Bombyx mori: one gene and its partner. The protein of the gene in region 1 purifies or fractionates together with the protein of each later gene. This does not show direct contact. Links are inferred from orthologs where the notes say so. Each region holds a gene or a part of one and is shown on either strand. Other genes may lie near its edges.

Evidence for each region.
Region 2: the proteins of anillin (region 1) and septin-7 purify together in Drosophila melanogaster (affinity purification with western blotting; 3 studies listed by BioGRID, with this or other methods). This does not show direct contact. The link is inferred for Bombyx mori from reciprocal best matches to the Drosophila melanogaster genes scra and pnut.

What each region holds. Positions count from the first base shown.
Region 1 is NC_085126.1:7,290,848-7,302,479, reverse strand, and holds part of anillin, read left to right. Parts: intron 1-2,183; coding exon 2,184-2,303; intron 2,304-3,026; coding exon 3,027-3,214; intron 3,215-4,217; coding exon 4,218-4,346; intron 4,347-5,432; coding exon 5,433-5,516; intron 5,517-11,632. UniProt on the Drosophila melanogaster protein: Required for cytokinesis. Essential for the structural integrity of the cleavage furrow and for completion of cleavage furrow ingression and proper formation of the midbody.
Region 2 is NC_085111.1:8,882,019-8,893,650, forward strand, and holds part of septin-7, read right to left. Parts: intron 10,332-11,632; coding exon 10,002-10,331; intron 9,726-10,001; coding exon 9,566-9,725; intron 9,330-9,565; coding exon 9,119-9,329; intron 8,674-9,118; coding exon 8,418-8,673; intron 7,665-8,417; coding exon 7,469-7,664; intron 6,910-7,468; coding exon 6,741-6,909; intron 4,737-6,740; coding exon 4,658-4,736; intron 3,732-4,657; coding exon 3,511-3,731; intron 3,018-3,510; coding exon 2,977-3,017; coding exon of another isoform or gene 2,966-2,976; exon of another isoform or gene 1,336-2,965; coding exon 1,295-1,335; 3' UTR 1-1,294. UniProt on the Drosophila melanogaster protein: Involved in cytokinesis and possibly cellularization. Also acts as an enhancer of the sina gene, thus having a role in photoreceptor development. May be involved in p53-dependent apoptosis.

The DNA of each region.
Region 1 (11,632 bases):
CGGTCCTTTGATTTATTAATGTATGAGACCTTCTCTAAATTTTTATGAACGATATGTCTTTCATCAAAAAGGTGGGCTAGTACCAATTAGAGATATTAAAGTCTCCCAAATCAAAACCAACCATTACAAAACTACTAACAAACATGAAATATGGATATTTAATCTCTAAATTAAATACACAATGAATATTATATCTCAAAGATCAATATAAATTGAATTTACATCAGGCAATGCCTTGATTATTGTCCCTAGCTTTGCTAAGGTTCACAGATGACAATAACCACTCACTATTAGGTGGTATGGTATGGCTACAGTAGATATAAAAAAGTATATTTGATCTCCATAGTCTGAAAATGTACAAAAGTATAATTAATTAATTTTAAAGTTACTACTTTTGTGTATATAGAAAATATTACAAAATAAACATATAGTAGGATAAAGTTACTTAGTTATTTAAGTGTTATTTACGTAGACAGATACCACTGATAATTCATCCAAATGATTTACAAATTTTATAAATACACATCTTAAGTGAGTAAACAAATACTTTCAATTGATAAGAAGTACTTCTTCTTGTAATTTTAACTCAAAATTTTAATAGGTTTAGTTAGTGAACTTGTCTTATTTTTGTAAGATAAAGGCAAGACTGGAGCCACTACAATTAAGCTCAGCACTGGCTCTAGGCCTTGCTGTGAATATACCATAGTTTATTTATTTATTTATTACACTTCATGTAAAATTTACATTGGCGGACTTAATGCCTACGGCATTCTGTACCAGTCAACCAAAGATAGTGCAGGGTAAATAGTGGTAGGTGCAATGAAATTTATATTAAATTACAAATACATACCCAAAAAAATGTTTAAATATATATAGCTTATAACATTGTTCTATGTTTTTTACCATCGCATAATGTTTGAAGGTGGGTCTCAATTTTCACATAAGCATTTATTGCCCCTGCCTATTTGCTGGTAGTCTAAGGGGCTATACCAGCTACGCATGAATCGGTAGGTGACCTCACAGGCTCAACCTGAGAGAATTTGTTAACACTAGTTCTACCAAAAGTAGCGCTTCGCAGAATCTACTGCCGGATCGGAATCGTGACTCACTGAGAAGATCCGGCGAGAAACTCAGTAAACGTCAGATAGGCTTGTGGTCTTTTAACAAATACATATTTAAAAAAATGCAATACCTTGTAAGGTAGCCAAAGTCCATAGTGACTAAGTGCATGTCATTGACTCTTGTATTTGTTGTATTAGCCATTACCACAAAGCAATCCTTTGTGTAAACACATTAGCCACTCTTGAACTTCAAAATTATTGAGTAAACACATTAGCTAATAATTTCCATGAAATAGTTAATATAGTTTGAAAATCATTGTACTTGGTGTTTTGTTTTCATCAATTTGTCACTATGTTATTGTGTAGTGTTTTTGTTTGATGTAATTCGAGTTTGTTATGTTTTTTTGTGGTGTTGAATGTTTATTTGGGTTAACAAGGTATGTAGGTAATATTAAGAATGTATTAAATAGAAATTTTGCTATTTCTGGTACTATATGGCATTTTAATTTTATTTTTTGAATTTTTTGTCATAATTGTGGTTTTATTAAAAACCATTGGTGACCATTTGAGACAGTGGGCTGCTTGTTGGTAATTGACAAATAAGTTATTGTAGTTAGAGACAATATGGTAACCAACGTGGTTAATCCAAGGTGCGTTTATTGTAAGTTGAAAAAAAAACCCTTATATTCATAATAATATATTATCTAAGTTGCTTATGAGTGATAATAACTACTCATCAAGTGACCCATGACTTGCCTGCCTTCTGACAGTAAAAATATTTTTTTTACAAAAAGGTTAAAATTTGAGAAACAAGTAACTAACTGCTAAAATTAAGAAAACACTAACTTAAAATAAATATAAATTTAAATATAATACACATTGGTCGAAGTAATGGTAATCTTTTCTATTCTAATAATTTATTTATATTGTATAAATTAAAATTTTTGATTCCAATGAGACAATATGATAAATAATTATAACAGAAGTATGGATTTCGGTCCCGTGCTGTCCACAGCTTTATAATCAAAAGCACAATGATCTTGTCTATTTCAAAAATGGCACGGATTTAATTTTTTCATGAATTTCTTAACCTCATACTAAACATTTATGTATTGTTTTCAGAAGACACATCCAAGGAATTGGTCAAAAAGTCTATTGTAATGTCAAACAGCAAAGACGATAAGAGCGGACTCAGACACAACATGAAGTCACGACTCGACAGACTTGGTAATCTATATTCAGGTATGTTAGTGTATTATTTGTATTGTTTTCATATTACACTAAGGTATTTCTATCTTCTTCCTCAAGTCGTTCCCTCACTAATGAGAATCCTAGCTTCAAACTGCAATGAACTCCTCCACATGCTACGATTTCCGTCCTTTTTCTCTGCCTACTGGTGGTAGGACCTCTTGTAAGTCCGCACGGGTAGGTACCACCACACCGCCTATTTCTGCCGTGAAGCAGTAATGCGTGTCGGTTTGAAGGGCGGGGCAGCCGTTGTAACTATACTGAGACCTTAGAACTTATATCTCAAGGTGGGTGGCGCATTTGCGTTGTAGTTTTCTATGGGCTCCAGTTACTACTTAACACCAGGTGGGCTGTGCGTTCGTCCACCCATCTAAGCAATAAATAAAAAACCTCTGAGGGTCATGTCAGCTTCGTTGACCGAGTAGGTGAGCTCACGGGGCTCTAACCTGACGAATTTGTCAAACTAGCCCTACCAAGAGCAGTGCTTCGCAGAATCTACCACCGGATCGGAAACGCGACCACCTGAGAAGATCCGGCGAGTAACTCTTTCGTCCTAATGGAGAACTTTAGGCATTGACATTTTGATTTCCTTGACCACCTGGTCAGAGCAATATCTAGGAATTCTTCCCTGAAGTCTTTTACTGTCTACATTACATTGTTACACCTATCACTATATAATCTCTGTATTATAAATTCTCTATAATTATTGTCTTCCAGATAAACCAGAGCTCTCTTCGCCTATTCACCGTACGGAGTCGGAGTTCACATCAGCGACGCCGCCTTCGGAGTTCGAAGTGAAAAGTAAACAGACAAAACCACAAGATGGGAAGAAGAAATTTGGTAGACTCGCAGCCCTCGCTGATCAGATTAACACTTGGGAGGATGATTTGACCCATCATAGTTTTGTAAGTGTTCACGACTTTTAATTTAGGATACAAGATTTATTTGAGCTGACTAGTTATATCCTACTGTTCTAAGTATACTTACTGGTGGTAGGACCTCTTGTCCGCGCGGGTAGGTGCCACCGCCCTGCCTATTTCTGCCGTGAAGCAGTAATGCGTTTCGGTCTGAAGGGTAGGGCAGCCGTTTTAACTATACTGAGATCTTAGAACTTATATGTCAAGGTGGGTGGCGCATTTACGTTGTAGATGTCTGTGAGCTCTAGTAACCACTTAATACCAGGTGGGCTGTGAACTCGTCCACGAATCTAAGCAATAAAAAAAATAAAAAAACCCTGCACATATAGGCAACACAACGTGATTGTGTTCATCCTCCTTCAATCATGAGGTAAAAGGTACAATTCTTACACAACTGCCTCTCCAAACTGGATAGCACGACTGCTTTATGGCAGAATTAGGTGGAATGGTGGTACCGACTCGTGTGGGTCTAATCGCCTTACCAGTAATCTATACATGAATGAAACTTTGTATCCCTTTTTACGAAAATTGCGCTGACGGAGAAGTATGAAATTTGCCACACTTGGCACACTTAGAGAGAATATATAGAGAAGGAGTGCAGAATGTTAATATTTTTTTTAATTATGCCTAAAAATACATTAAATCAATAAAAATAACACTACACACACTACCATGTATTTGACGCACACACGCCTGCATACTATTTATTTATTGTCAAACTACAAAAGTTTTACAAAAGTCTTGACGTCTGTGGTCAAATTGAGAATAGATTTCATATTGTTTGTCTTATAATATTTTTATATAGTGTAGTCATGGCGAAATTTGTGATTAGAATCATAATAGTGTACAAACTTACAATTTCAATTAATTATAGTCGAATTTCGACTACTGCGGGACAACTAGTAATACTAATTTGTCCTTAATGATAAGTAGATTGACATTTTACTTGTACTGTAAAGAAAATTTAATAGTATCTTCTTTTCTTCTTCAGCAACCAGAGCCTAATAAGAAAACTGCAAACAATTTCAAAAGCAAAAAACTTGAAGATTCCACTCTGGATGTCTCCATACATTCCATAAAGGATATTGACAAGGCTTTGAAAGTTACTCAGAATAAAAAGGTTTGTATGTTTGTAGTGTTGAAAAAATATTAATTAAACTGCCCATCTCCATGTGGGCTATGTAGGTCTCAATATTAGAAACATAATGTTATATTGCCATGTTTGGAATTTTGAAATTGAATGTTTCTTGCAACGTCTTGTTGTTTACTGATATAAATATTTTTGGATATGGCAGCACGACACGAGAACCCTCTTGTCGTGGCCGCTGGAAACTACATACCCGATCCTGTAGACCGAATGGTAAACAGTCGATGTCGCCCAAAGCACGTCATTACGGATCCTCCCGATCCATTAACAGTGCTTTTAGGTACCTCAAGCACCGGTCATCGTCCTCGTCGAACCCGTCGCTTGCGACGAAGGGCTCGACGAGTAAATGAACCCTCAGACACAGCCCACTGAGTTTCTCGTCGGATCTTCTCAGTGGGTCGCGTTTCCGATCCGGTAGTAGATTCTGCGAAGCACTGCAACACTCCGGTTTGAGCCCCGTGAGCTCACCTACATGTTAGGGCGAAGATGAAACAGCCTCTCAAGGCTATCAGCATAGGTAGGAAAAAAATATATGGCTTAAACCAAATAGCCTTTTTTCCCTCTACACGTATATTATTATTCAAACACATTCATCGTCAGAAGAATTGTCACTTTCACTTACTGATCTACTTGACTCATTGTTTTAACATAAAATATCTTCTGAATCCTTCCCCATCCCCAAAAGCAATAAGACGCATCACGAATACAAACTATAATATAAAAAACGAAACACGTAGAAATGTGCATCTTAGTTACGTTGCAATAAGGTTTATTTTTAGTTAAATAATAGCTGTACCCGTCCGCTTCGATAGGCTTTTAAAATTAACATTATTATTTCTCACTCCCATAAAGATTCTCATCATTAGCGCCTCTACAACTGGTGTAGGGAGTCCCGCATATAAATATTAGCCTATCTATTAAGTACATGCAATTTTCTACATGGATACCAAGTTTCAAGTCAATCGGATGCACGGTTCAGCAGTTATAACGGAACATCCGTAAGAACCACAGTAGATTTATATATTAGTATAGATTAGTATAGATGACTCATGCTTTCAGACATCACACTACACTAGCAACAAGACATCGACGAAGCAGGTGAACGAATGTCAAAGATTGAAAAAGCAAATCGTCGCGGAACTGGTGAGTACTTAGGATTTAAGTTACGTACTCTTTGAACGATCACAGATGTGAGGTCTGATGTTTGTACAGAGATTAGTTTTATTAATATCACTAGCGGCCCGCTCCGGCTCCGTTCGGGTCTTTAACAAAAATTTCAACGATATTTGACGTTGTTTTATTTTTTTAAATAAAAGAACACTTATTGCGGCATAACTATAATAGTCAGACATATGCTGTCGCGACACTTCTTGTAAATAATAATGTGTTCTACAAAGTCGTGGTACATTATTTTATTCTATCATCAATAGTTTTCGCAGGGCACGCGATGTAAAGAATATTTTAGGTAATTTTTTTACACGTTGGATTACATTATTGGAGTTTTAGTAAGGATCCCTAATTTTTTTCAAAAAAGATTACTATACTGGCCTATGTCACTCGGGAATAGTGTAGCTTCCAAACAGTGAAAGGATTTTTCAAATCGGTTCAGTAGTTTCGGAGCCTATTCTAGTATATTCATATATTCATTCATACTATTCTGCTGATAGTACCTACATCCGACCTCACAGTTCTGAAGTTATTAAATTTTAATTATTCAATCAGTGTATTTCAGCTTAACAATTTAAGTATTACGTACAGAAGTAATGAGAAATTTGTGATTTAAATTTTAATAAAAAAAATAAAAAAAAACTTAAATGAACACAAAGTTCAATCAAAACAAACGGTAAGTAAAAATTTATTTTATATTTGTATTTATGTGTTGATTTTGATATATTTATAATAGATAGCTTGGTATTTACATAAAATATGTTTGTTTGTATGTAACTGAATCTTTGGACGTCATTACCATTGACTCGAAGACTCAGAATTTTCAAGTTAATCCGATGATTTGAAAATTTTAACACGCATTAATTACGATAAATATTAATATCGACGCTTGAAAGGCAAACGTGACTAAGTGACAATGCGTGAACTTTACAGTAGACTATTTTAAAGTTGAAATACCTGAAAACAAAATTTATTTTATCGAATCCAGCTGTAGTAGAATCTAGCTAGTAGCTGTAGGATTGAAATGATTTTAATAGACCTAGAAATATATATATTTTTTCCACATCGAATATGGTTATTGCCTATCATTTATGTACAAAGCAGTTATTGTCGCTTAGTCACGTTTGCCTTTCAAGCGTCGATATTATAAGTTCGCTCCAGCATCCTTAAAAAGAAAGAAATGAAATTGATCGTTAAGTAATTACAGTTTGCTTTTTAAGGGAGTGTTTTTTTTTTTTAAACTACCTACATATTATTATTTTATAAATTTGAAGGTATCTTAAGTCGTAACTAACAACTTTTTCCCATTAGCTATTAACAGAACCTTTAGCTTTCCACGATTGGATGGTGTGGGATCTTTGTTTTGTAGTTTTAAGATAAAAGATCGGAGAGCGTACCTAAGATTTGTTTTGTTAAAAAAAAACAATACAACTAATGTCGGCTCTTAAGTTTTTTTTGTTTTAAAGGGATGTGATAATGACGAAGTTGCACTATAATATACAAAGATTAAACGTTTGTTTGAATGATCGTTTGCGTCGCAGATAAGTTAATTCTTGATACGATATGTATTTAATAAAAAAATCCTACTCAAAAATGTTGTTGTTATAATATATTAGAACTAGTTGTGCCGCAGTAGTCGATATTCGACTAAAATTAATTGATAATATACCTAAGTTTCAACATTATTGTCGTTAAAAACTATAATATTTCTATAATCACAGATTTCGCCAAGACTACACTAGACAAATAATAATAAAGACAAACAATATTAACCTATTCTCAATTTGACCGCAGACTTTAAGCAATAACAAAAGTTTGACAATAAACAAAGAGTGTATTTATGTGTGTGTATCAAATACATGGTAGTGTGTGTAATATTTTTTTATTGATTTCGTGTATTACTAATGCATAGTAAAAAAAAATGCATTCTGCACTCCTTCTCTATATTCTCTATAAGTGTGGGAAATTTCATACTCCTCCGTCCGCGCGATTTTCGTAAAAAGGGATACAAAGTTTTTGCTTCACGTATTAATATATAGATTGTTACCACTATGCTATTTGGTATTAGACGAATTATTGAGATATGTTAACGAGCTCAACCGCCCGGCATTAAGCTGTTACTAAAGACTTGACGTCTCACGTATATGCCGTTTTGAGACAGATTTCAAGTCATTAAGTACATTAGTAAAATGGCTGCTCTGCGCTTTAGCCATAAACTGACTACAAAAAGGCTATCTAAGATAGTAAGCTACGCTAAGATAGTCATTTTAGCTCCGAGATAGAACGTGCAGGGTTGTATCGTCTCCTCCATAAAACTGACATATGAAATCTCTTTATCAGCACTCTACGGGTTTGTTGACTTATCATTTGTTGAAACTTGGTTTTTCCCCTAGCATTAGCAATGACCATTGACGATGGTGACCAGTATCCGTTGGGTGGGCCTGATACTCGTCTGCCATCGTTAGCAATAAAACATAATACACAATTTTAACAGAAGAGAAAATCGGTTTCAACATAATAAGATCTTGATAAATGGGATTAAATAAGAAGGATCTGCTTTGATTAAAAATAGATCATCAAAATCGTTTCACAGCACACGTAAATGATGTAATACGTCGTAGCCTAAAGGATAAGACGTCCGGTGCATTCGTATCTAGCGTTGCAACCGGTGTTCGAGTCCCGCAGGCGGGTACCAATTTTTCTGATGAAATACGTACTTAACAAATGTTCACGATTGACTTCCACGGTGAATGAATAACATCGTGTAATAAAAATCAAACCCGCAAAATTGTAATTTGCGTAATTACTGGTGGTAGGATCTCTTGTGAGTCCGCACGGGTAGGTACCACCGCCCTGCCTATTTCTGCCGTAATGCGTTTCGGTTTGAAAGGCGGAGCAGCCGTTGTAACTATACTGAGACCTTAGAACTTATATCTCAAGGTGGATGGCGCATTTGCGTTGTAGATGTCTATGGGCTCCAGTAACCACTTAACACCAGATGGGCTGTGAGCTCGTCCACCCATCTAAGCATATTTTTTTTTAGCATAGACAACCTTTTTTTAAATAACTCTTAAAAAGGTTAAAACTGTATCAGGGAAGAGTATTAAAATGGCGGTAGAACAGAATATGAATTTGAATTTAAATTCTACAATGTCAGATTAGATTTTATGTCAAGGTCTAATAGAATTAACGTCGTCTGATAGTAAATAGATCGTAAAAACGTAACCTATTATGGTGTAGGTAATATATTATGACAACGATTCGCGCGTGTACGTAGATGGCGCTTGGCCTTTGACTGTATTTCGTATCGTGGACTATAGACATACGAAGAGTAGTGTTAATATTTTACTTTCAATTTTTTTTTGAACGAAGTTCCTTATCGCGCGTTGTGAAAGGGGGCTAGACGGAAAAAATTCTTACGAAAAGTTGTCACGACACTTTTTAGATCCGTCATTCTGACCAATCAACGTGTAGGCGCTTATCGCGTGACATTGCTCGTATCCGATTGGTCCGCGTAATGAGTACAGTTTCTCGAGATAGCGTTTCAACAATAGTAATTTAGTTCATAGTATTGTTTTTTTCTTCTTCATAATGCCGTAATTTATTATTATAACTTAAAAAAAAAATTACAATTCCTTCACTAATTAATCGAAAGGAACTTCGTTCCATCCGGGTGTCCCTTGACACCTCTGAAGTTTTTTCTTTTTTATTATACGTTTTGATATGTCGTAACGCGCGTGGTGGCTCCGTTCACACGAGAGGTAGTATCATCTATAAGTCATTATAATTCGAAGGGTAATAGGTTAATTGGTTTAACTTTACAGGAGAGCCATGTATAGTTTAAATTTGAAGAAATAGTACATTGTGCACCAAGGGAGAAAAGTAGGACATTTCCTCCCGCGTGTAAAATTGCGCGGGATGAGATGTCCTACTTTTTTCCCGCGGTGCACATACTGTTTTTTCTCCTACCAGGCCGAAAGTTCGTGGAGTATTGAGCCGGGGTCCAGGGGCGAAGCCCTGGCAGGGGCATAAAAACACAATTTAACTGTTTTTTTAATTTTTAAATAAACTACTACTAATTGAATAAGAACTGTCTGATGAACTCATCTTTGTTTAATACTTCACTATTAAATTTTATTGCCTTTTGTTTATTTTAATTTTACACTAAACACAATATTGCAAATAACCCGAGCACAACAATGGCGGAGAATTTTAGGTGTGTGAGAGCAGACGTAGACACTAACGCGCATGCGCACTTGTCAGTACCCGGGGAGAAAAGTTAGACTTTCTTCCCTGTACAGCGGGAGGAAAACCGAACTTTCGGCGTAGGTAGGAGAATAAATATCATAACTTCTCTAGCTGTTTGAATGGTGTAACCTTAATTGCAGCTCAATTAAAAACGTAGTTTGTTGATACTAATACCAAATAAAACGCACTTTTAATTACAAACATAAAGGACAATGCCCAAAAGTGGGCCAACTTTATGTCAAAACTATTTGTACTTGAAAAACTATGCCTTATTTTTTCACGTTGTTCAGTTTATGTATCAACATTACTTTCAACCTGGCATTGTTTTACAAAAAAATAAATTACTTATTTGATAACATCCCAAAACTGAGTGCCATAGTTTTTAAATTCGCCAATAGGCAAAGGGCCTATCGTTGCCGGCTTCCGGATTTGCATTTTATTTTATTATTATTATGAGGATATAATAATAATTATTTTATTATTATTATGAGGATATAATAATAATAAAATGTACGTAAAGGCTTATTTCTAGCAAAATTAACCACAATTAAGTTATTTAATACTGTAAATAATGATGAGAGCGATTATTGATTTCGAAGAAAACAATTAACAACTTAATTTTAGCTGCAGAAAAAAACAGATTTCTCTTAAACCTGTGTGAGAATATAAAAATCGTTTTCTGAATATGAAACGATATTTCTTTGTCTATCAAATTAAGTTAAAACCATCATGACCCGATAACTTTTTTTAGGGGCCCAAACGCCCTAAGAAATTGGACATTGTCCTTTCGCGTATTAAGCTAAATGTCGCTTAAACCAAATAGCCTTTCGCCCTCATTCAGTGCATTAAAAATACATAGATCGTCATGAACTCGTATCGATCATCGCACGCGTCTATGTTGCGGTACAAATCACGCAGGCAGTCATATATTTTCCAAGGAAATAACTGTGTGACAGAACACGTGCTCATTAAGGACTTCCACGATGAACAACGTCCCTTAGTTACCACCATCCTGCCTATTTCTGTAGGGAAACAGTATCTTTTCAGTTTGAAGAGTGGGGCAGCCGTTGTTCTATACGATTAAGACCTAGACCTCATGCCTCAAGGCGGGTGTGAGGTATTCACGTTGTAATCTATGTGGTTACAGCAACCATTCCACATCAGTCGAGTTTTTTAACTTCTCGACCGCGTAAAAGTTAACTTAAATTTGTATTGGAGCTGGAACAGCACCCCTAGCGGTAAACGTGGGTGTTCCAGACTGTTCCACACACAGAGAAGCACGGGCTCGTCGAACCAATATATGTAATTGAATATGCAATTTCGAAAAGGGCACATCTCTGAAAATGTAAAATGTTCAGGAAATGAAAAAAACTGATTATTTTCTAAAGCAGTGTAAAATTTAAAATATTAACTTTTGAGATATATTTTAGTGTTAATTAACAATTAAAAATTACTGGAATTATTATAAAATGGGTGTAGGTAAGCCTCAAGACTACATGTATATGAAAAAAACGTATTTGACAAAATATGCGACATGTGCCCTTTTCGAAATTGCATATTCAATTATGACTAGTGACTTAAAAATATATAGAACTAATGTGGCTCTACAGTTTCGCTGTTTTTTTTTTTTTTTAAGTTTTAGTCAAGGATTTAAGTCGCGTATTTTATAAACAGTTTCAACGCGTTACCCCCATGGCATACTAAACGACAATCACACATCATGATCTGCCGCGTCCGCATGACGCACACGCACGATGTGTCTGAAGAGCATCAAGATATCATTTGAATAGTCGCGTAATATACAAGAGACCGCAGTTTGAGGTTTACTGGTGTATAGTAATGCG
Region 2 (11,632 bases), on another chromosome or scaffold:
AATAAATAACGTGGAAGTCAATACTGTAGTGTAGTTTAAATACAAAATCATGCTGATTAAAAAAAAGGATTATACATTTATCAATCATATAGTAGGTGCAATAGTCGAATGAGAGATAATAAGGTGTAACGATAAAAAAAATATTTACACGAATGATCGTCACAAGTAAATAATAATATAGAATAAAATACATTTAGTCTTTTTAAAGTTAAAACAGGAATTGATTCGTCATCTTGTTAAGCTAGGCGTCCACTACGTTCGCGAACCTATAGCGCACCGCACAACTGTATTCGTATTCTGTGCGAAAATAAAAAGCAGTACAAACTATGAAGCAACCGTACATTTTTAGTTGTACTCGCCAGTAATTTTAGATTTTTCTTCGGCGACTTATTAGGCAGATGAGGATACGGCCTATCGGTAAACGTTCGCCTATTAAATCAACAGTGTCACGCCATAGCCAAACCGTGGCCTATCGCGGAGCTATCGGCGTACGAGCGTAGTGGATGACCAGCCTTACATAATCTCTCGACAGATTAACGAAATAATTAATGGTTCATGTCACGTGTTGAGAGATCGCGTCCTTATACCGAGCGCTATCGGCTAGCTAGTTCCTATATCAAAAACTGAGCTATGAGCATAACATTAGTATCACTAAGCACAATATACTCGAGTATATTCTAAAACGAACGCTGTGCGATTTCGATACATACGCGTATTCCAAATTGCACGGATCAAGCCGAAATATTAGAATTAAAATTATCACTTATCGTTAAAAACTTTAGAATGTTTTCTAATACAAATCGATTGTAGACCACTAATTGCCTCCTATGTTAATCAAGAGCGATTTTCTTTTGTCACGAATGTAATAGTTACTTACTATATATAATATTTAAATTATTTTCATTTTCGTTTTTGATTGGTTTTGAGCTAAACAGATCACACATCGTTGGGTCGAACCGTCACGCATGCCGGCTTCGAAACAGATCTATTATTAAAAGCTATTTGGCATCTTTCTGGACGTAAACATGTGATTTAAACGTTTGGGCTAACCCTGCTATTGACAAAAACGTTGTAAAAACTTTTCGAAAAAGAAATCATCATACAAAATTAGGCCCCACACACTTACATTAAAAAATAAATGCCTTGTCATGGAATAATTTGAATTCGTACATAAATTGAAATATTCAAATAATAGTTCTGATGTTCTACATTTATTTATTGCCTCTGGTAGTCTTGGTTTAATCGTTGTAATTCGTTATGTCTAAAATACAATTCGACGTGTATGAAGAAGACCTTATATAGATATTCCAGTTGCGACACTCTTAAAAGACCAATCTGCAAATCACATTGAACAATCTCAGTACTTAATCTTAGATTTAAATTTTCTAATTCATTAATAATTCTCATTTATTGCTTTAAAATTCATTAATACCAATATTTCAATGGTTTTCAGAAACATGAACTAAGAAAAAGAAATCGAGACCTGAACATTATTCAGACAGAAAATGTTTTAATTTTAGTTACTGTTTTTGAACAATACATAGCATTTCATAAGTAACACGGAACATAGATAATGACAATAAGACCAGAGTTAGGGACAAATAAAAAAAACCCCCATAAAATATAAAGTGAAATTAATTCATTCCATGTTAAGTTTTATATGGAAAAAAAGTGATTTGATCATACGAGTGTAATTATTGTTGCATTCAGTACTCATACTCATATCGGATTTCTTAAAGTAAACTGCAAACAACAAAGAAACCTTGGTAGTTAGCAAATAGATGATTTTTTTAAAGAAATTTTCGTATCTTGTGTGTGTAATTCTCACATTCATTTTGCTATGCGGTTAAGGAGAATGAAAATTAAGAAATCCGTGGTGCTCTTAGTTTAATCATGCACACATCATAAGTAACGACAAAAGGCTTGTGAAACTAAGAAAAAAAAAAGAGACAAAAATTTGTAGATATGTTATTCGTTGCAAATTTTGAAATCATCATGTACTTTTTAATTCGAATAAAAGTCAAAGATAATACATTTGCTTCAGGAAGTCTCAACTACAATGATGTAGATCAAACTTTCCCTCGTTTCGTTCTTTTATGACATAAAATACGACATATTAATTAGCCGGCATTCAAATTAAGCGTGAGCTAGTATTCATAGAAAAACCTTAGTTTTAATTATTTTTAAATCAGATTTATATTCACATACCATTGCTTTTCCATAGTCAGGTACAATTTACAAATAAACGACCCACCCGATTTATTTATTTTTACAGACATCAAATTAAATAGACAGGGGAGATTTTAAATTCGGGGCATATATTTTTTTTTCATACGCTTTTTATAACCTAAGCAATTTTCGTAACACATACACACAAACACCAAAAACCGTAAACGAAGACAGGAATTTTCAAGTTTATTAACACATCGTTCAAGCGTGTACGTGTAGTGTTAGGGTTGCCAGCGTTGTTTTTTTTAATGTAATAAATTAATTCACAGATTTAAAACGTAACATCCTTGTACTTTTCGCTTTTGCGAAACAATTCTTCGTTTAACCCTAAAAGTGACAAGTGAATCTAAATAGAGTATCAATAGTTGAGTATTCTAAATTTAGCACGACAATCGTTTTTAATGTTTCAGTGTTATACATTTGGCAACCCTATATACAGCAACGTACGAAATTTTATTCTGATTATGTCTCTCCACGACGTGCTCCGCATAACAGTTTAATTTAGAACATCTCTAAATACGACATCAAATCGATGTGGACACTTGTTATGAATGCAGGTCGCGTCGCTTACGAGACGATCCCCGTTATACAAGTAGCGTGATTCGCTTCCCGATTATATTCGATAGTTTATTGCATTAGACAACACATATCCAAGAGAGACGCGGTGACGAAACACGAGGTTAGTACGCGCTTGTCGCGGTGGGTGCGAGGCCGACGTTTCAGACAAACAAACATTTTAGAACAAACCTTTCTTTTTCTTGTCCTTCTTTTCTTTGCCGTCAACGGTTCTGAAAATACAACAAAATTTTATTATTGTAGTTTTCCGTCGAAATCTATTTTTTTCCTATCTATTCTAGTAACCTAGAGGGGTTATTCTAGATTCGCCGAACTAGTAGATGAGCTCGCAGGGCTCAAACCTGACGTTGTTGCTAACACGAACCCTAGCAAGAGCCGTGCTTGGCAGAATCTATCAGCGGATCGCAATCACGACCCATTGAGCAGATCAGGGGAGAAACTCAGTGGGCTGTGTCTGTGGGTTAATTTCCTCGTCGAGCCCCAAGATGACCGGTGCTTAAGGTACCTAAAAGCACCGTTAGTGGATCGGGAGGATTCGAAATGACGTGTTTTGGGCGACGTCGACTGCTTTCCATTCGACTTTCCATGCTTTCCATTTTACGTTTGTTTGATAATGATAGTGATAGTAAAATACTAAAAGCTCGTTTCAGATTCGGGAACGTTAAAATGAACTAAATAGTTGTAGTGTAGTGGTGGTATATGTACTCTTTGCTGTTGGCCTCGAGCGAGCGCCTGCGCAGGTCGTCGAGCGAGAGGCCGGTGTCGCGCTCCCAGGCGGCGCGCTCGGCGTTGAGTGCGCGCTGCCGCTCGTCCAGCTCGCGCGCCTGCGCCTCCAGCGCGCGCCGCGTGGCCTCGTGCCGCCGCGCCAGCTCCGCCTCGGACTCCTTCAGCTTCGCGCGCTTGTCGCGGACTTTCGTTTGGAATATCTGAAAACGAGCGATGATCACGTTTTTTTTTTAGACGAGCTCACAGCCCATCTCGTTTTAAGTGGTTACTGGAGCCCATAAACATTTTTTTTTGTACAATTTTTCCTTATTAGAAAAGGCAAGGGAATCTAAGCCTATACAGCCTTGTCTGTTCTATATAATTTCTGAAATAAATTTTCAAAAAAGCCAGGTCTTATATGATTTATATGATATCCTGAAATAAAAATTTCATGAAGGCCGAAGCCAAGTCCTTTATAATTTCTTTCTGAAATAGCCCATAGACACCCACAACGTAAATGCGCCACCCACCTTGAGATATAAGTTCTAAGGTCTCAAGTATAGTAACAACGGCTACCCCACCCTACAAACCGAAACGCATTACTGCTTCACGGCAGAAATAGGCAAGGCGGTGGTGGTACCTACCCGAGCGGACTCGCAAGAGGTCTTACCTACCACCAGTAATTACGCAAATTATAATTTTTGCGGGTTTCATATTTATTACACGATGTTATTCCTTACCGTGGAAATCAATCGTGAACATTTGTCGAGTACGTATTTCATTAGAAAAATTGGTACCCGCCGGAGATTCGAACACCGGTGCATCGCTCAACACGAATGCACTGGACGTCTTATCCATTAGGGCACGACGACTTCAATTCAGTGGTGGCAATTGCAAGATTGAATGCTCTCCTGACTTGACTTTGAGCGAACGCCTATCACACACGATAACAACGTAGACGGTCTTCGATTGTTGTGCGAATTGGTCTAGATCCAAATGAATTTCGATGAAAAGGGTTCCAATTATACATTTTCATTAATCAAAATCAAAATTTACTTAAATTTTTACTTGACTAATCCAAAAATAACATTGATGTTTATATTGATCTACAAACCCAAGAAAACAAATCTTGAAAATTAATACTCACTTGTTCCATTTCACTCTCCATTTTTTCCATCTTTAGGTCGTGTTCGCGTTTTTCCTCTTCCATCTGTGCTAATGGATTCCTGGAAGTAAACAAAAGCATTTACACAAAACCGTTGTAGGTGCAAATTTTTGTTTCTTAATGTCATCATTAATTTTATTACGTACAAAATTTATCATGCAAAACAATCTTAGTGTCATATCTATAACATTTCCAATAATTACTAATAACTTTACATTCAGATCTTAAGATAATAACAAATCAAGCTCATCTTTAAAAGGGGAAATAACTTTTGGATTTAAAATGTAAAATCACAAATAAAACGTTTTACTTAATTTGTTTAGACGCTTTGTCCTTCTGTATTTAAATAATAAACACATTTGGGTATAGGGGTATCAAAATAAAATTGTCATGCATATATCGTTCCTTACATTTAGTTGAAAAAACTACAAGCAATTACCATTGAAAGCTGTGTAAAGAAGACCTAGGACAATGACAGCAACGATAAAAAAAAAACATTAAAAAAAAAAGGTTTTAATCTTGAACGCCAGCGTTCTTTTTCGAACATCATTTAAAACTCAAAAGTTAGTAAATCACGAAACCCTCAACCACACAATCACGAGTTAGTACACAACACCCACAGCCGCTATAACCGAAATGATGCAAAACTAATAACAAGCCACACCCAAGTCTAACAACATGTAGTCCCTCCACATTGTGAGACCTCATTCGGCCACGTGACCCAGACTAAAACCGTGCTCTACGTACGTAGATTCAAAATGTATTTCGTGGGGAACTTACCACACGGTCATGAAACTGTTCATCAGTCCTTGCGGGCACAAACTGAACACCAACACAACCAATAGTTAACGACACAGGAGGCTGTGCTCGCGCAATCATACAGTGGCATTACCAACTCATTCTCGTTTACATAAACAGATAAACTTTTTTTTTGGCTGGCAACACTCGATTTGGCTGCCATTACGAAAATAAGGTTACTATTATGTGACGTCATCGACTTAATAAAATGTCACTCAGCTCAAATATTTACAAGATCCTAATCTCTATCCAAAATGTTTTTTTTTATTTTATTTGATATTAGTATCAAATGATCGTTTTTCATTGATAATTTGTCAGTGTTCTTTATTTGTTCATTATATATTATTTTCTCCTTTCTTTATATGTTCATTAACAATATCAATGACAACAACATCTTTTGTGTTAAAGCAAACAATAGAACAACGAAACGTGAACCACTTCGCTGGCACGAGACACTTCTTTTTTCGATGTGTTTTTGTTCTCTTTGGATAAATACAAATGGAGATATGAATAAGTGACATCATAGTGTGCATAACCGAACAAATGACACACGCTCGTTAAATAGTTGACAAATCACTTCTAAACACACAATCGTGAATGAATTGTTATTAATGCCACTGTGAAAGCGAATGAACTGCAACTTGTAACATGTACTGGATTCGTCATGGACCATCTCAGTGTGGGTTTCAAAAACGTTATCTTACTAAAAAGTTTCCGTACAAATCTAAAGACCAATATTAAATGGTCCATGACGAATACGAATGATAAATGTTAAAAACTATTATTTCATTTCTGCATGCCCAAGCACAGAACGTTCGTTTGAATAGATATATCGTACGCAGCTATTATATAATACTGAACATAAACATACAAAACAAAATATATTCAGCTCACAACTGCGACAGTAAAGAGGAAAGATACAAATCAGTAAAGGTTACCAGACATGCAGCAATGATAAAAGTAATGGAACACACGGTGTCAATGTTAATATGATTATTAATTTAGATTCAAATCTATTTTCAAAAAAATCATATTTATAGTCTGGTGACCTTGAACATGGTGACAACAGTACAAATAAAAATGAATAACATTAGTTTAATTAGTTCACCAACCCTGTCTTATTAGGTTGTTAAAACTAAACATGCCTGTTCCGATTGAATTCTGCTAATTCGAAGAAAGTACTTCGTATTTTTTTTAAAAGTAAAATGCGTAATTATTCACTGAAGAAGTATTAGTTCGAAATGGTATGATATATGAGTTAACGTACTTATTAGAGTTGGTTCTGTGCGGCTTCCCGTCGTGCGAGAGTCCGGCCAGTTTGCGACATCGATAGTTCTCGTAATGCACAGAGCTGGTCACGTCCTTCAGGTCCTGAAGGTGCGTCCGTATCACCATGTTCCGAAGCGCCAGAAAATCGCAGTGCTCCAAATTTTCAACTAAAATCACAAGTAAGTTATTATTTTGTGAAGTATTTAGAATTATTGTTTATCAGCAGCACCACAGTTTTTATAGCCGACCTGGTATTAAGTAATTACTCGCGCCCATAGACATCTATAAAATAAATGCCGCCATCCACCTTGAGATATGAGTTCTAAGGTCTCATTATAGTTATAACGGCTGCCCCACCCTTCAAACCGAAACGCATTACTGCTTCATGGTAGAAATAGGCGGGGTGGTGGTACGTACCCGTGCGGACTCACAAGTAGCGATACATTTGTCATAATAATTATTAATTTTAAAATCGTCACAGGTTTTCTTTTTGAATTTTTTTATTGCCTTTGTAGGCAGACGAGCATAGGGCCCACCTGATGGTCAGTCGTCATCGTCGCTCATGGGCGTCAGCTATGCCAGGGGCAGAGCCAAGCCGCTGCCTACCATTAAGTACTCTCCGCAAGCCTCGTTTGAAGAAGAACATGTCATAGCGCTCGGAAAACACCGTGGAGGGGAGTTAATATGTTGAATCTAATGTGAGTAGGCTGTTTGAAGAGTACACACCCTCGGCGATGCCCCAAGGGTACTTCCTGCCCCGTATGCGGCGCCCGTCCTGCTCTATGACGGTGTTGGCGCCGACGACGGCGAAGGGTACCCGCGCCCGCAGCGACTTGGTGACGTCAGCGCCGTCCCCTTCCTCGCCCGTGCTCTCCGGGAAGTCGTAAATTTTAATCTTGTGCTGACCGATTTCTTTCATTATCTGGAATTATCATTATTACTCTGTGTTATATCTATATCGACACAATCGTGTGTAATTTCTAGTCTGACAGTTCAGTGCGTGGTATAAACATCACTCTGCATGTTTCATGAAGCAAGTGTCCATGAGCAAGATTAATACGTAATTGGGCCCGAACTCCTCAGTATACGTCGGCACCACCCTCTTGAAAAATGAGGTGGTATTTTCTAATGAGATTAGTCTTTTAGTCTTACTGATTAGGCAACCGCGGCTCTATTGTTCGGTTGTATTTTATTTTTCTTACATAGATGGGTGGACGAGCCCACAGCCCTCCTGGTGTTGAATTGTTACCGGAGCCCATAGAAATCTACAACGCAAATGCCGCCCGCAAAACCCACCTTGAGATATGAGTTCTAAGGTCTCAGTATAATTACAACGGCTGCCCCACTCTTCAAACCGAAATACATTACGCTTCACGGCAGAAATAGGCAGGGTGGTGGTCCCTACCCGTGTGTGGACTCACAAGAGGTCCTATCACCAGTAATTACGCAAATTATAATTTTGTGATTTTGATTACACGATGTTATTCCTTCGCCGTGGAAGTCAATCGTGAACATTTGTTAAGTACATACGTATTTCATTGGAAAAATTGGTACCAGCCTGCGGGATTCGAATACCAGTGCATCGCTACATACGAATGCACCGGACGTCTTATCTTTTAGGCCACGACGACTTCAAACTTATTGCTTTACACTTTACACAAAACTGATCACGAACCTGTTCTTTGAAGTCCTTGCACTCTTCGGGCGTCATTGTATCGGCCTTAGCGATGACCGGAATGATGTTGACCTTATCTCCGAGTCGCTGCATGAACTCGACGTCCAGGGGTTTGAGTCCGTGCCCGCTCGGCGCTATGAAGTACAGGCAGCAGTGCACGCGCGTGTCCGGTGGCGCCGCCTTGCGGGCGACACGTGATTCGGCGTTCAAAAACTCTTCGTACTTCGATTCAACGAAGTCGATGATCGGTTGCCAACTGTAACGTGAGGAGAGAGTTGGGGTATACAGTTCTTTTGATATTACGTTTTTTTTATAGCTTGGATTTGTGGACGAGCTCACAGCCCACCTGGTGTTATGTGGTTACTAGAGCCCATAGACATCTACAATGTAAATGCCGCCACCCACCTTGAGATATGAGTTCTAAGGTCTCTATATGTAGTTACAACGGCTGCCCCACCCACCCTTCAGGCCGAAACGCATTACTGCTTCGCGGCAGAAATAGACGGGTGGTGGTACCCAACTAAAATTACAAAGTACGATACAATACGAAAGAGCCTTTATGTATTTAAAGCATGCCTAAAATAGTACACACAAAAGAAGACGAAATATATAACGACAGAAACTATTTTTAAACAAATTACTTAATTCCCGAACTCATTAAGGGAGTTCTTTCTTTAATTCTTTAAGTATCATCTACACACCAATTACTGTTATCGACGGCGTCGCCGAATCCCGGCGTGTCGACGATGGTCAGCGTGAGGTTAACACCATTCTCTTTTAGAAGAACGACGCTGGTTTCAACGCCAACCGTCTTCTTCACTCGCAGCGACGGCCCCGGATGTTTGTCCTTGTCATACACCTCCGTCAAGAAGAGCGAGTTTATTAGTGTCGACTTGCCCAAGCCTGATTCACCTTGAATTCGAATTAAAAACGTCTCATTAGGAATTTGTTTCGCTAATTCAAAAAGATGCATAAATACAGAAATAGTCTTATGAAAGTCGTCGGGGGTATTGACGTCAATAAGATAAAATGTAATAGAAATAATGTCAGTAACTCATAACAAACACAAGACGGCCCTTATTTACCGAGCTCGAACTACAGTTGTTATCGCTCTCGTATTGCGCATTAACAACGCAGCTATATCTTACCTACGACCATCAACGTGAATTCGAAGCCCTTCTTCACAGCTTTCCTGTACACTTGGTTCGGCAGATTAGCAAAACCGACGTAGCCATCTAGTTCTTTGGTTTTTGGTTTTTCTATTTTAGGTAAGTCTGGTTTCGGCGCGACCGGTGGGTGTTCGGCTTTCTGGAATGAAATACACTCAATGTTTAAATTATTACAAAATCATTGAATTGATCAGAATATCTAAATCCGTCATTAGATGAATACGAACGTATGTTCGATTTCATTATAGAGATAATACGCGGGTACTAAATATTACAATGACTCAACAGTAACTTCTTGTAATATGATGAAAGTCGCACAGTGTAACATTCATTATACAATGTATTGATAATAAGAATAAATACAGTCATTGTTTTATCCGTTCTTGTACATTCTATGATAAAATTACGAACCTACCTTCATAATATTCTCTGTACTCCTGAGGGGTGTCGGTACTGGTGCGGGAGGTGCAGATATTGGTACTGGCGGGGCAGGTGTTGGTGGGGGCGCTGTACTCGGAGGCTTGGAGACATCTACCGACACGCTATTGCTGTGTTTCGTGGCGATCCCATTGGCTTCTACGTGGTTAGTCTCCTGAGGCTCTGGTAGCGTCGCAGAGCGCTTACTGAGCGCATCTTTGAGCGTGGAAGGAGGCGCGGGCGGTGCTGCAGAAGGCGGGACAGACGCGCTTACGCCGCCACCGCTTACAGTGTCCGACTTGAAAAACAGCTCTCGTTTACTCTGTAACTGAAAAATGAACAAAAGTTTTTTTAAACTAAAATGAAAGAGCGACTTATTGATAAAAGTAAAACGAATCGAGCTAGATATAAACGCGACAAAGTTGTTTCATGACTAATAAGTTAATTTAAAAACCGGTTTCTGATAAATTTAAACAAGACCAGTGGAGCGTTTTCACTTTTAACATTATCCTACGCGAAACATGATTGTTCTATCTTTACTATTTTACGAGAGACATTGAAACCCATTATTTGCTTGATTTTATAACTTACAGACAGCATCATTATAGGCCGTAGGGTATGTTGTGAGTTGAATGGGTCAGTACCACCGTCTTGCCTATTTCCGCAGCAACTATACTGAGATCTTTAGAACTTATATCTCAAGCTGGGTGGCGCATTTACGTTGTAGATGTCTATGGGCTCCAGTAACCACTTAACACCAGGTGGGCTGTGAGCTCGTCCACCCATGAAGGCAATAAAAAAAAACAATATATAATGCGTTTCGTTTTAGCGTAATCCTTTCACACTGAAGTGACTATTACAATGGATCTTCGGACTCGTAGCTGAAGCGGTGATGATGAAGTGCTTTCTATGAGCTCTGGTAAACACCAAACGAGTTGTGTGAGCAACTGTTCAATCAAAGGTAATCAAATTCTCCCCGAAGGTAGGTATATAAAAAAAGACTCCCGCAGCGAAAAATAATAATGTGGCACAGCTTCGCGAATACACTATTTGTACTAACATATATTGTGTTTTCCATTATAGCTAGTTGATTATAATTGATAAAATCTGTGTATAACGCTGTTCAGTGTATTGAGTACATGTTAAATAAGTAGGTGGAGTGTCGTACACACTCGAGTCGGTCTAGCCGGCTCCGTACTCCGGCGACAGATGACTCACCGATACAAGGTAATGCGTCTCAGAGTTATAAATTACTATAATATAGTATTCTTCAAACGTTCAAAATGACAGACGAATATCCCGAAACCGTAATGATTCGTTCTCGTCTTACTTTTGTTTTTATGGCAAATAATGTTGCTTGCCGCTTTTTTTACTTTAAACTTCAGAAACTAAAATCGACGATATTGTTCGTGATGTGTCTCTATTTCTATCGTTGTTTCCTCCTTGTATCTAAGTAGGTATATTGAGTAAATATGAATACGTGAAGCAAAAACGTAATACCCTTTTTTACTAAAATTGCGCGAACAAAGGAGTATTAAATTTCCCACACTGATAAAGAATATAGAGAAGGAGTGCAGAATGTAATTTTTTTTTTTAATTATGTATACAAAAATACTTTAAATCTATTGA